Linked DNA regions of Callithrix jacchus. The protein of the gene in region 2 purifies or fractionates together with the protein of the main gene of each other region. This does not show direct contact. Links are inferred from orthologs where the notes say so. Each region holds a gene or a part of one and is shown on either strand. Other genes may lie near its edges.

What was found.
Region 1: the proteins of myeloid cell surface antigen CD33 (region 2) and PTPN6 purify together in Homo sapiens (co-immunoprecipitation; 4 studies listed by BioGRID and IntAct, with this or other methods). This does not show direct contact. The link is inferred for Callithrix jacchus from reciprocal best matches to the Homo sapiens genes CD33 and PTPN6.

Annotation. Positions count from the first base shown.
Region 1 is NC_133510.1:21,225,082-21,229,941, reverse strand, and holds the end of PTPN6 (tyrosine-protein phosphatase non-receptor type 6), read right to left. Parts: intron 4,538-4,860; coding exon 4,406-4,537; intron 4,266-4,405; coding exon 4,111-4,265; intron 1,975-4,110; coding exon 1,907-1,974; intron 1,817-1,906; coding exon 1,665-1,816; intron 1,569-1,664; coding exon 1,477-1,568; intron 1,115-1,476; coding exon 1,004-1,114; coding exon of another isoform or gene 1,000-1,003; exon of another isoform or gene 983-999; intron 795-982; coding exon 710-794; 3' UTR 604-709; downstream 1-603. UniProt on the Homo sapiens protein: Tyrosine phosphatase enzyme that plays important roles in controlling immune signaling pathways and fundamental physiological processes such as hematopoiesis.
Region 2 is NC_133523.1:44,809,088-44,814,697, reverse strand, and holds the start of myeloid cell surface antigen CD33, read right to left. Parts: upstream 3,552-5,610; 5' UTR 3,506-3,551; coding exon 3,469-3,505; intron 3,407-3,468; coding exon 3,029-3,406; intron 2,824-3,028; coding exon 2,545-2,823; intron 1-2,544. UniProt on the Homo sapiens protein: Sialic-acid-binding immunoglobulin-like lectin (Siglec) that plays a role in mediating cell-cell interactions and in maintaining immune cells in a resting state.

The sequences.
Region 1 (4,860 bases), on a different chromosome or scaffold from region 2:
AGCCTGGGTGAGGGGAGAAGCTGGGTGCTCCCGGGTGCACTAAGAGCCAGTCCCCAGTCCCCGTTCCTGCCTGAGGGGATGAGTGGGGCTGGCCTCGGGTTAACTACTCTTCTTAGTTCGGATCTGGAAGTCAGCATCAGGGGAGTGTGACTCTAACTGCCCCAAGGGCGGCAGCTGCAACTCCAGGGTAAGGAGTCTGGGCTCTGGGCTCAGAAGGCCTGGGTTCAAATCCCAGCTCCACTGCTCCATAGTCCTGTGACCTTGGGCAAGTGACCAAGTTACTTAGTCTCTCTGTGCCTCAGTTTCCTGCACTGTAAAATGAGAATAACAAAAGTGCCTAGACTGATGTAACATGTGTAGCCTCTCAGTGCCTGGGCACAGGGCAAGCGTGTGGTGAGTCACTGTGCCCGTCTTATCACCAGCCGTCATCGTGTGCTTTTCACAACCGCCCTGTTATGATCGCTCTCCATTTTAAAGGAGGAGACTGGGGAGCTTCGCCCACAGTCACCCTCCCACGTGTGAGGCGGAGTCCAGACCCACAGCGGTCTGACGGGAGGCGGAGCCCACTCACTGGGCAAGCAAAGTGCTCAGTTAGAGGCGACACACAGTAATCCCAGGCCTTTATTTACAAGAGGAGAAGGGCTGGCCCTGACTGGGGCCTGGCTGGGCTATATACAGGATCAGGGAGAGGTATGAGGGATGGAGCCATTTAAATTACAATAGAATGGGGCACTCCTAGGTTCAGGTTGTGGGTCTGTCCACTGTGGGAGGCTTCCGCAGGGTCTGGGCTGAGGCTGCCAAGAGAAGGAGTTAGGGAGTGAGAGGGTGGCTGGAACCTGGAGGGCGAACAAGGAGGTCTGGGGCAGCTGGGAAGGGCAGAGTGAGGCTGCAACCACCCCATCCACCCAGGGAAGGCAGTGGAGCCAAGGACACAGGGCAGGACAGGGAGGACAGCCAGGCAGAAGAGTTGTAGCACCGCCACCTGAGCACAGCGCCCGCTCACTTCCTCTTGAGGGAACCCTTGCTCTTCTCCTTGTCTGCTGACCGCTGCTTCTTCACTTTCTCCTCCCGCTTGTTCTTACTGTGCAGGTTCTCATACACATCCTCCTTGTGTCTGCAGCAGGGTGCAGGGGGCAAACACAGGCCGGAGGCACAGGTCAGGAGACAGCACGGGGGACCCAGCAGTGGCAACCCTCTCTGGCTGCCCCATCTCACAGGTGGCCCAGCCACTGTCCCTGCACTAAACTCCAAGTTCTTTGAGGTTAGAGGCAACATCTCATACACAAGTGCACTGCTGCTACCTAGCACAGGCCCACACGTGGCGGCGGTGGGGGGGCACTCTGGAAATGCTTATTAACAGAAGGCGTGAGAACCAAGCTTGAACTTGAAGCAACACTTGTCCTCTCCAGAAATCAAGGATCGGGCTGGTCAGGACAAAGGGGTGGATGCCGGGAGGTGGCAGTCAGGGCCACTCACTTGGATGAGGTGCGGGAGGCCTTGGCATGGGCGTTCTTCATGGCTGGGGGGTAGGTGATGTTCCCATACTCCGACTCCTGGCCCTTCTGCGACTGTGGGCAGAGGGATAGCAGGAGGGTGGTGGTCCCAGCAGGGCCAGGTGGCACCCATCCCCCGCTGCAGCCCCCTAGGCCCTGCTCTGCACGCACCTGCAGGACCTCCAGCTTCTTCTTGGTGGTTTCAATGTACTGGGCAATGGCCACGTAGATGAACTTGTACTGCGCCTCCGTCTGCACCATGCCCGAGCGCTGCGCCCGCACCATCTGGATAGTCTTCTGGATGTCAATGTCACAGTCCAGGCCTGGGTGGGGGCAGTCAAACCTCAGGCCTAGGCACAGGTAGACACCAAGGGGTTGCTCACCCCGCCCCCAAGCCCCCAGGTGCCCCTCACCCTTGGTGGAGATGTTCTCCATGAGCATGTCGATGACAATGATGGTACCTGTGCGGCCAATGCCCGCGCTGAGGAGAGACGGGGATGCCGTCAGAGGCCAGTCAAGCCCTTCCTGGGAAGGGGGGTTGACCAGTGCTCAGCTCCACCCCCAGGCACTGCAGGAGCAGCCTGAGCCTCCAGTAATAGAAGGGAATGTACCCAGCATCATTGGGCAAGTGACAATGACAATTTGCCCGACTCTGCATGGGAGCACTCCACTTCTGGCTCTGTGGTGCTGATGCCAGCTTCCCAGATGCCACCATCCTTCCCTACTCCACTCCCTGCACCGAATCCTCACTCCTGGAGAGCAGCTGTCCCCACCCCGAAAGACATGGGACCCCCAAATCCCACTACTGTCCTGCTGGTTCCTAGGCACCCTGAACCCTTCCCACCTCTCCAAGAGTTAGGGAGCTCCAGCTGGGTGCAGTGGCTCACACCTGTAATCCCAGCACTTTGGGAGGCTGAGGCAGATAGATCAAGAGGTCAGGAGTTCAAATACCAGCCTGACCAACATGGTGAAACCCCCGTCTCTCCTGAAAATACAAAACTTAGCTGGGCGTAGTGGCGTGCACCTGTAATCCCAGCTACTCAGGAGGCTGAGGCAGGAGAATCACTTGAACCTGGGAGGCAGAGGTTGCAGTGAGCTGAGATCACGCCACTGCACTCCAGCCTGGGCAACAAGAGTGAGACTGTCTCAAAAAAAAAAAAAATTCATGGAGCTTCTCTCTGCAGAGGTTTATTTCCCTTTTTCTTCAAACCCTGACAGCTGGGAAAGGACAGCCCAGAGACAACAGGGTTCAGGGGTGCCGGGTCAGGGACTCGGGGGAGCAGTGCAATAGGAAGTTTCTCTCCTTCCCACCCCTGGGCAAGCAGACCCTAGGGAGACCCCAGGCCCACCCTCAGCTGGGCCCATCAGGCTGGTGCCCTGAGTCGCACTGTCTAATTTCAAACACAGATTGTCAAAAATAACCCCCCTTCACCCACTTCCTTCCTGTAACGTCTAAATAAAGGCCATGGGGCTTTCAAGAAGTGTGTGACTATACGTGCGGTGGGTGAGCAGGAGGGTGGCTCTCAGGGATAGACCTGTCCCTGAGAGAGCAGAGGACAGAGCTGCGGCCCCAAGACAGCCCATCGGGGCACCTCTAGATTCAGCCAACTGGCCCTGTCCCATGGACAAACAGCTGCTGGGGGGAAGAGGAGGAGGCCAGAGGCCATCAAAGACCTGGGGTCCACAGAGGGAGTGTGAAGGGACCGGGCAAGGCAGGTCCCTGTTTCCCCCATTCTCTGTCTGGCATGAGTACTAAACCAGTAACTGCCAGTGTTTGAGGGCTGATGGAATTCCAGCCACAGCAATAGGGTCTCACGACAACCCTGAGATCCTGGTTTTACAGATGAGGAAGCTGAGGGTCAGAAAAGTTAAGCAATTTGTCCAAGATCACACAGCTGGTGAGCAGAGGGGCCCTCCACCCGCTGCCTCTCTTCCATTTAGGCCAGGCCGGCATGGTGGGCTCTTCAGTGGGACCCCTGCTCCTCGCAGCCCCACCTCTGCACCCTACAGGGGTCTCCTGATCACAAACACGAGGGTAGATAGAGGAGCTATGTGTACCCCCCAGAAAGGCATCGCCCATCCCCATACAACCCTGGGGGCCAGGATGGGGAACTGCCAGGGAAAGGGGGAGAGACGGCGGAGTCAGGAAGAAGCCTAAACCCTGGGGCTACAGATGGAAAAAGAGGAGGAATGGGGAGCACAGGCACGATGGATATTCCTGGGAGGCCAGAAGAAACCAGCAGAGTGGGACCTTGAGAGACAGCAGGGCAGCCGGGACTCAGGCCTACTGTGGGTGCCAGCCCGGCCTCGCCCTGACTAGCTGGGGCCTGGCCAGCAGCTGAGTCCTGGGTTCCTCCTCTGTATTTGGGTTGGGCGAGATGGTACATCTGGGGAAGGCTCTGAGGAAGACACCCACAGGCAGGGGGCCAAAGTGGGACCAGGTCCAGCCATGTTCCACCCCAGGCTCTGGAGCCATGAGGGAACCCAGAAGAAGCCGGGGGTGAGCGGAAGGCAATAGACGTGTGCACTAACATGTATGTTGCTTATAACAGCTCATGGCGCTTAGCAATATTTACTCCTCAGCAGTCACTGCTACCATGAGGACTCTCATTCTCACCTGCAGTGCACGATGATGGGGCCTGCGCGAGGCAGACTTTCCTGCCGCTGGTTGATCTGGTCCAGGAAGCTGAGGACGCCCCCGGGCTCACTGGGGACCCCATGGTCAGGCCAGCTCAGGTACTGGTAGTGCCAGATCTCCCGAACCAGGTCCCCCTGACCAAGGACATAGGGTCAATTCCCCCTGCTCCCTCGGAACACCCCACCTGCCTCACCCCACCCAACCACTCAACCAGACAGGAGAACAGGTCCAGTGGGGGACTCCCACAGCAGGGCAGGGAGTGGGGGATGCTCACATTGTCCAGTGGGGAGACCTGCAAGCTGCGGAGTTTGTATTCGGGCGTGTCGTGCTCCCTGCAGTTGGTCACAGAGTAGGGCCCATAAACGCGCTGAGTGCCCACCTCGGGCCAGTATGGGACACATTTGTTCTGGAAAGAGACCGTTGGGTGGGGATGACCGTGACCCATCCCAGGCCCTGCTCTAGTGCCTGGCACCAGCCCAAACGTTCGTCAGATGGACAGATGAGCTGGCTGAGAGGCAGGAGACCTGTGCTCTCCTCTCGGAGCAGCCACCAACAGGTGATGAGGCCTGGCCAGCACTTTACCGGGACATCCATTTGACATTCAACAAACGTCACCGGGGCAGGCGTGGTTCCTGAAGCTGTGCAAACCAGGCTGCAGTCACAGACACATATAAGGCGCCCTCTGTGCCCTGTGCCTTGAGCAGCTCAGAGACAGGTGACCGGGTGAGA
Region 2 (5,610 bases):
CCTAAAGACTCTAGCAAATAAAACCTCCTAGAACTGACAAATGAATGTCGTAAATTTGCAGGATACAAAATCACTGCACAAATATCAGTTCCATTTCTACACACAGACAATGAACTAGCTGAAAATAAATAAAAAAGGCAATCACATTTACCATAGGTATAATAGAATGAAGTACACCTAGGAATAAATTTAACCAAGGAGGTGACCGACCTCAGCAAGAAAAACTACAAAACACTGAGGAAATAAATTGAAGAAGATACAAACAACTGGAAAGACATTCCATACTCGTGGATCAGATGAAGTAATATTGCTAAAATGACTATACTACCTAAATAAACCTACAGATTCAAACCAGGCTCTATCAAAATACCAATGTCATTCTTCACAGAATTAGAAAAAAAAATCTTAAAATTCACATGGAACCAAAAATAGCCTGAATAGTCAAAGCAATCATAAGCAAAAAGAACAAAGCTGGAGGCATCACACTACCAGATTTCAAAGTATACTACAAAGCTGCAGTAATCCAAACAGCATGATATTGGCAAAAAGCAGATACATAGACCAATGATACAGAATAGAGAAGACGGAAATTAACCCACTATCTACAGCAAACTGAATTTTGATGAAGGCATGAAGAACACTCATTGAGGAAAGAGCAGTCTCTTCAATAAATGATGCTGGGAAAACTGGTGCCATATGCAGAATAATGCCACTAGACTCACACCTCTCATCCTGTACAAAAATCAATTCAAAATGGATCAAAGACCTGAATATAAGACACAAAAATATAAAAGTACTAGAAGAAAACATAGAGGAAATGCTTTAGGACATTGGTGTGGAAAAATATTTTATGAATAAGACCTCAATAGCACAAGTAACAAAAGCAAAAGTAAATAAACGAGATGATATCAAGCCAAAAAGCTTGTATGCAATAAAGGAAACAATCAACAGAGTGAAAAGGCACCTACAGAATAGGAGAAACTATTTGCCAGCTGTTCATCTGACCGGTGATTCATATCCAGAATATATGAGGAACACATACATCTTGATGGCTCAGAAAACCCCAATCTGATTAAAAACTGGGTAAATTATCTGAGACATTCCTGAAGAGATGATATACAGATGGCTAACAAATATATAAACAATTCTTAACATCACCAATCAACAGGGAAATGCAAATAAAAACCACAATGAGGTAACATCACCCCAGTTGGGAGGACTGTGATAAAAAGATGAAAATTAACAAATGCTGTTGAGGATGTAGAGAAGTGGGAACTCTTATATACTTTTTGGCCTGAATGTAAACTAATATAACCAATATGGTGAAGAGTATGTAAGTTTCTCAAAAAACTACAAATGGAGCTACCATATGATCCAGCAATTCTACTACTGGGCATTTATACAAAGAAAAGGAAATCAGTATATTGAAGAAATGTCTGTACCTCCATGTTTATCGCAGCACTAGCCACAATAGGAAGATATGAAATCAACCTAGGTGTCCAACAACAGATGAATGAATAAAGAAAATGTGGCATATACATAGTGGATTATCATTCCACCCTAAAAAATAAAGAAATCTTGTTATTCACTATAACTTGGTTTGAGCTAGAGGACATTTTGTTAAATGGAATAAGCCAGGAACAGAAAGTGAAATACTACAAGTTCTCACTCATAAGCAGAATCGAAAGAAGTTGATTTCATAGGAGTAAAAAGTAGAACAGAGAATAATGACTGGGAAGGTTAGGGGAACAATGATAGGGAAAGAGATTTGTTAAAGGATACAAAATTACACCTGGAAAGGAAGAATAAGTTCTGGTGTTCTATACCACTGCAGGATGACTATGGTTAACAATAATACATAGTTTCAAATAGCTAGAAAGAGGAAATTGAATGTTTCCAATATAATGAAATGATAAATGTTCAAGATGAGGGATATGCCATTACCCTGATCTGGTTACTATACGTTATTAGTATTGAAACATCATTATGCAATCCATAAATATGTACTATTATTATATATATCAACTGAAAATAAAGTAAAATACCCCAAGACATTCAGTGACAGGAGGGAGATAAAGAGCATTATTTGGATGGGGAAGAAGGAAGTTGCTAGTCATTTCCAAATATCCTTATCCAAGGTGCCTGATGTCTACCTGTGTCTAACTACAGGCCTTGCCTCTGAACATTTGACTCAGAAAGTCTGATCTGACCAAACCTGATACACACTCAATGCCAGTAACAGCCCCGGGCAGGGAGGCTCCTTCTTACCCCGGCCATCTCCTAGAAAGATACCAGTGGTTGGGTTCTGTGGAGCATCTAGGAGAGGAAGAGAGGATTTCCTTTATTTGGGGGTAGGGGATGAAATAAGGGTAGACATATCCCCTTACTCCTGCCAGAAGCCACAGAAATGCAGAAGGGACAGGGCTTATATCCTTCTAGCTCCCAAACTTGGCCAGGCTTCCAGGACACTAAATGTCCCCAGCCCCAGCCCATCCTGTCTCCCCTGCACCCTCAGAGACTCCAGCATCCCGGCCCAGCACTTACAGGTGACATTCAACTGGATGGTTCTCTCTGTGGTCACAGCAGCTCCAGGGAACTTCACCTGACAAATGAGGTTGGTGCCATGGTCCTGGGGCCGTGGGGTGATGATGAGCACCGAGGAGTGGGTAGTCCTGGGGCCCAGGGAGGTGGGGGCAGCTGACATCCAGGAGAAGATGGGGGGTGTTCCCTGGTCACAGGCCCAGGGCACAGAGCAAGTCAGGTTTTTGGAGTGGCCAGGGTCTAGAGCTCCAGGGATGAGGATATTGGGTCTGTGGGCCAAGTCTGGTGAGGAGAAAGCAGGGGATGCACGATCAGGAGGGAGGGTCCAGGTGAGGCCCTGAGAGAAGATCAAGCTCTGGTCAGGTTCCCCCTGTAAGCATGACAGGCTTTATTCCTAAACCCCTCCCAGTACCAGGGTTCCATCCCAGCCCTGCCCTGCAGTACCCTTCAACTCCCCTTGTGGCTGCTTCTGGAGCCCGTGCCTCACCTGTCATATGCACAGAGAGCTGGGTGGATGTGTAACTGTATTTGGTACTTCCCATCTCTATCCGAAAGAAGTATGAACCATTGTCCCTCCTCCTGGCATCTACAATGCGTAGGGAGCAGTTGTTCTTCCTGGGATCCCCGAGAAGGCGGAATCGGCCCTGGGTCTCCTCCTGTACTTCTCGATCTGGGTTGTTTGTGGCCACTGGAGAGTCCAGGGATACAGTGGCTCCTTTCCGGAACCAGTAACCATGAACTGGGTTATTCCTGAGGTAGTGGGGTGGGAGGGAGAAAGTGCAGGGCACGAGGACGCACAAACCCTCCTGCACTGTCACTGAATCTTGCACTTTCAGCCAGAATCCTGAATCCTTAGCCAGGGCCCCTGTGGGGAAATGAGGATCAGCTTGGCCCAGCCCCACAACCCCTCTCCCCGCAGCCACTCACCTGCCCACAGCAGGGGCAGCAGCAGCAGCGATGGCATCTCTGAGGTGGAGGCTTCCTGGGCTCCCTGTGTGAGAAGAGAAGAGGAAGAGGAAGGGCTGCAGGGCCAAATGGGAAGCTGGGGAGGAGCAGGAAACCTCAACCCTGCACAGAAGAGGAAACTCAGACCCACACGTACTCAGAGCTCATTTCCTCCACACAGATTGGACAGATCACTCATGGGCCACAGATGCCAGAGACCCACCCAGAGAGGAGAGGAAATGGAGCAGAATCTGGTTCTTGCCTCCTAGGAGCACCAGAGCCTAGACCAGTACCTCTGGTGACATCTGAGGCATGGGATGCCCATGTCTGAAGTCCTTCCACTCTGAGGTGCTTCTCTGTGCACAACTGTTTACACCAGGGCTGGTCACTGCAGTCTGGCTTAAGTCACAGCCTCACCTAGATCCATGAGGTGATCGGTCCAGCAGGATGTAGGATTCTATAGGGTCCATGGGAGTGTCTGGGGCAGGCAATGAAGAAGAGTCCTAGGTAAACTGAAGGTGGCAGCCATTTATTTATTTATTCATTCGCTAAAGATATAGTGAGGCAGCCATTTATTTATTTATTCATTCGCTAAAGATATAGTGAGTGACAGATCAGAAGCACCATCATCTTGGACAAACACCACCACTTTAAGTTCCAGCTCCCTTTCTAGCCTAATGCATTTCAAGGAAATCACTTCTCTTCTAACTACAAGCAGCCAGAAAGAGCAGACAGTAAAACACGGGTAAGACAGCTAGGGCACAGAGAGAGCTGGGGGGAAAGTCTCTTGGGTAACTGCCAAACTTAACCCTCATACAATGGGCTCTAGTAAAACGGTGGGCCTTAATAAGCACATTCCTTTCCCTTCAGGTGCACTAAGATAGGGAAGCTCGGGGTGTAGGCCTGTAGCTCCAGAAAGATGTATGGGAAGACACGCAACTCTCCTTCCTAGATAAGCACAACAAAGAGATACAGAAGCAGTCCAAACCTCTGACAAACTCTCCCACCCTAAATCCTTAAAAACTCTTAGTCTGTAAGAGAGTGTGCCTCTGACCTAACTCGGCCAGAAGCTCCTCTCAAGTTTGTTTTCTTGAAAACCTGTCTTGACTGGTGAGCCACCTTTCATGTTTCTTCCCCCCTTTATTTAATTCTTACAGTGAACCTTTGTGTATAAGTGAGGCTTGAGAAGAGATACCACTGACCTGATTTCAAGGCAGCCCTTGAAATGCTCCCTATTCATAGCCTCCTGTCCTCACCACACACACATACTGTCTGGCTTTACAGCTGTGAAAAGGGGAATTTGCCATGTGTAACATATTGTGAATTTAAAAAAATATGACTCTGGAATTTTCCCCTGGCAGCTAGTATGCTGATTTGCACAGTGTCAATGACATCTACAAAATAATAATCATGGGCATCTTCCTATAAAACAAAAGGGAGAACACATGTTCTATGAACCAGTGCAGAAGAAACTTCTTTTCCATTTGCTGCCATTTGGTGCAGTGTGGGCAGAAGCAATTTTTTTTTTGGAGGCTCATGATATGGATTAACATTTTCCTTCATGTAAAAATCTGCTTTTCACAGTTAAATATGGCCCAAAGACATAATATTTCCAGACAACATGAGTGGAATGTACAGAGAAAATTAAACTTTAGGTCCAGCCACATGCTTGTCCATATCACTGTGTAGTATGCATCCAACAAACCCTTGATGCCTGGTACTCAAGTATTAGTACTTGTCATCATACATTTGTCAAATATCTGCACACAATAGTGTCTAGATAACTCTTCATTCATCCTGCTTCATCATTTGGTATATAACAAATTGAGTCTCCATTAAATAATATCTGACATAAATTTCTCCAGTAAACAATATCTGATATATCAGATATAAATATCAGATATAAATTTGATATATAACTGAGTCTCTAGTAAATAATATCTGTTGTAAGTTATTTAGATATTTAGCATGTGGCATATAATGGAAAATTCAGTACATTTAGTGCTTTTTTTTTTTTGAAGACAGGGTCTTGCTCTGTTGCCCAGGCCGGGGTGCACTGGTATGATCACAGCTCACTGCAGCCTTGACCTTCCAGACTCAAGTGATTTTCCCACCTCATCCTCC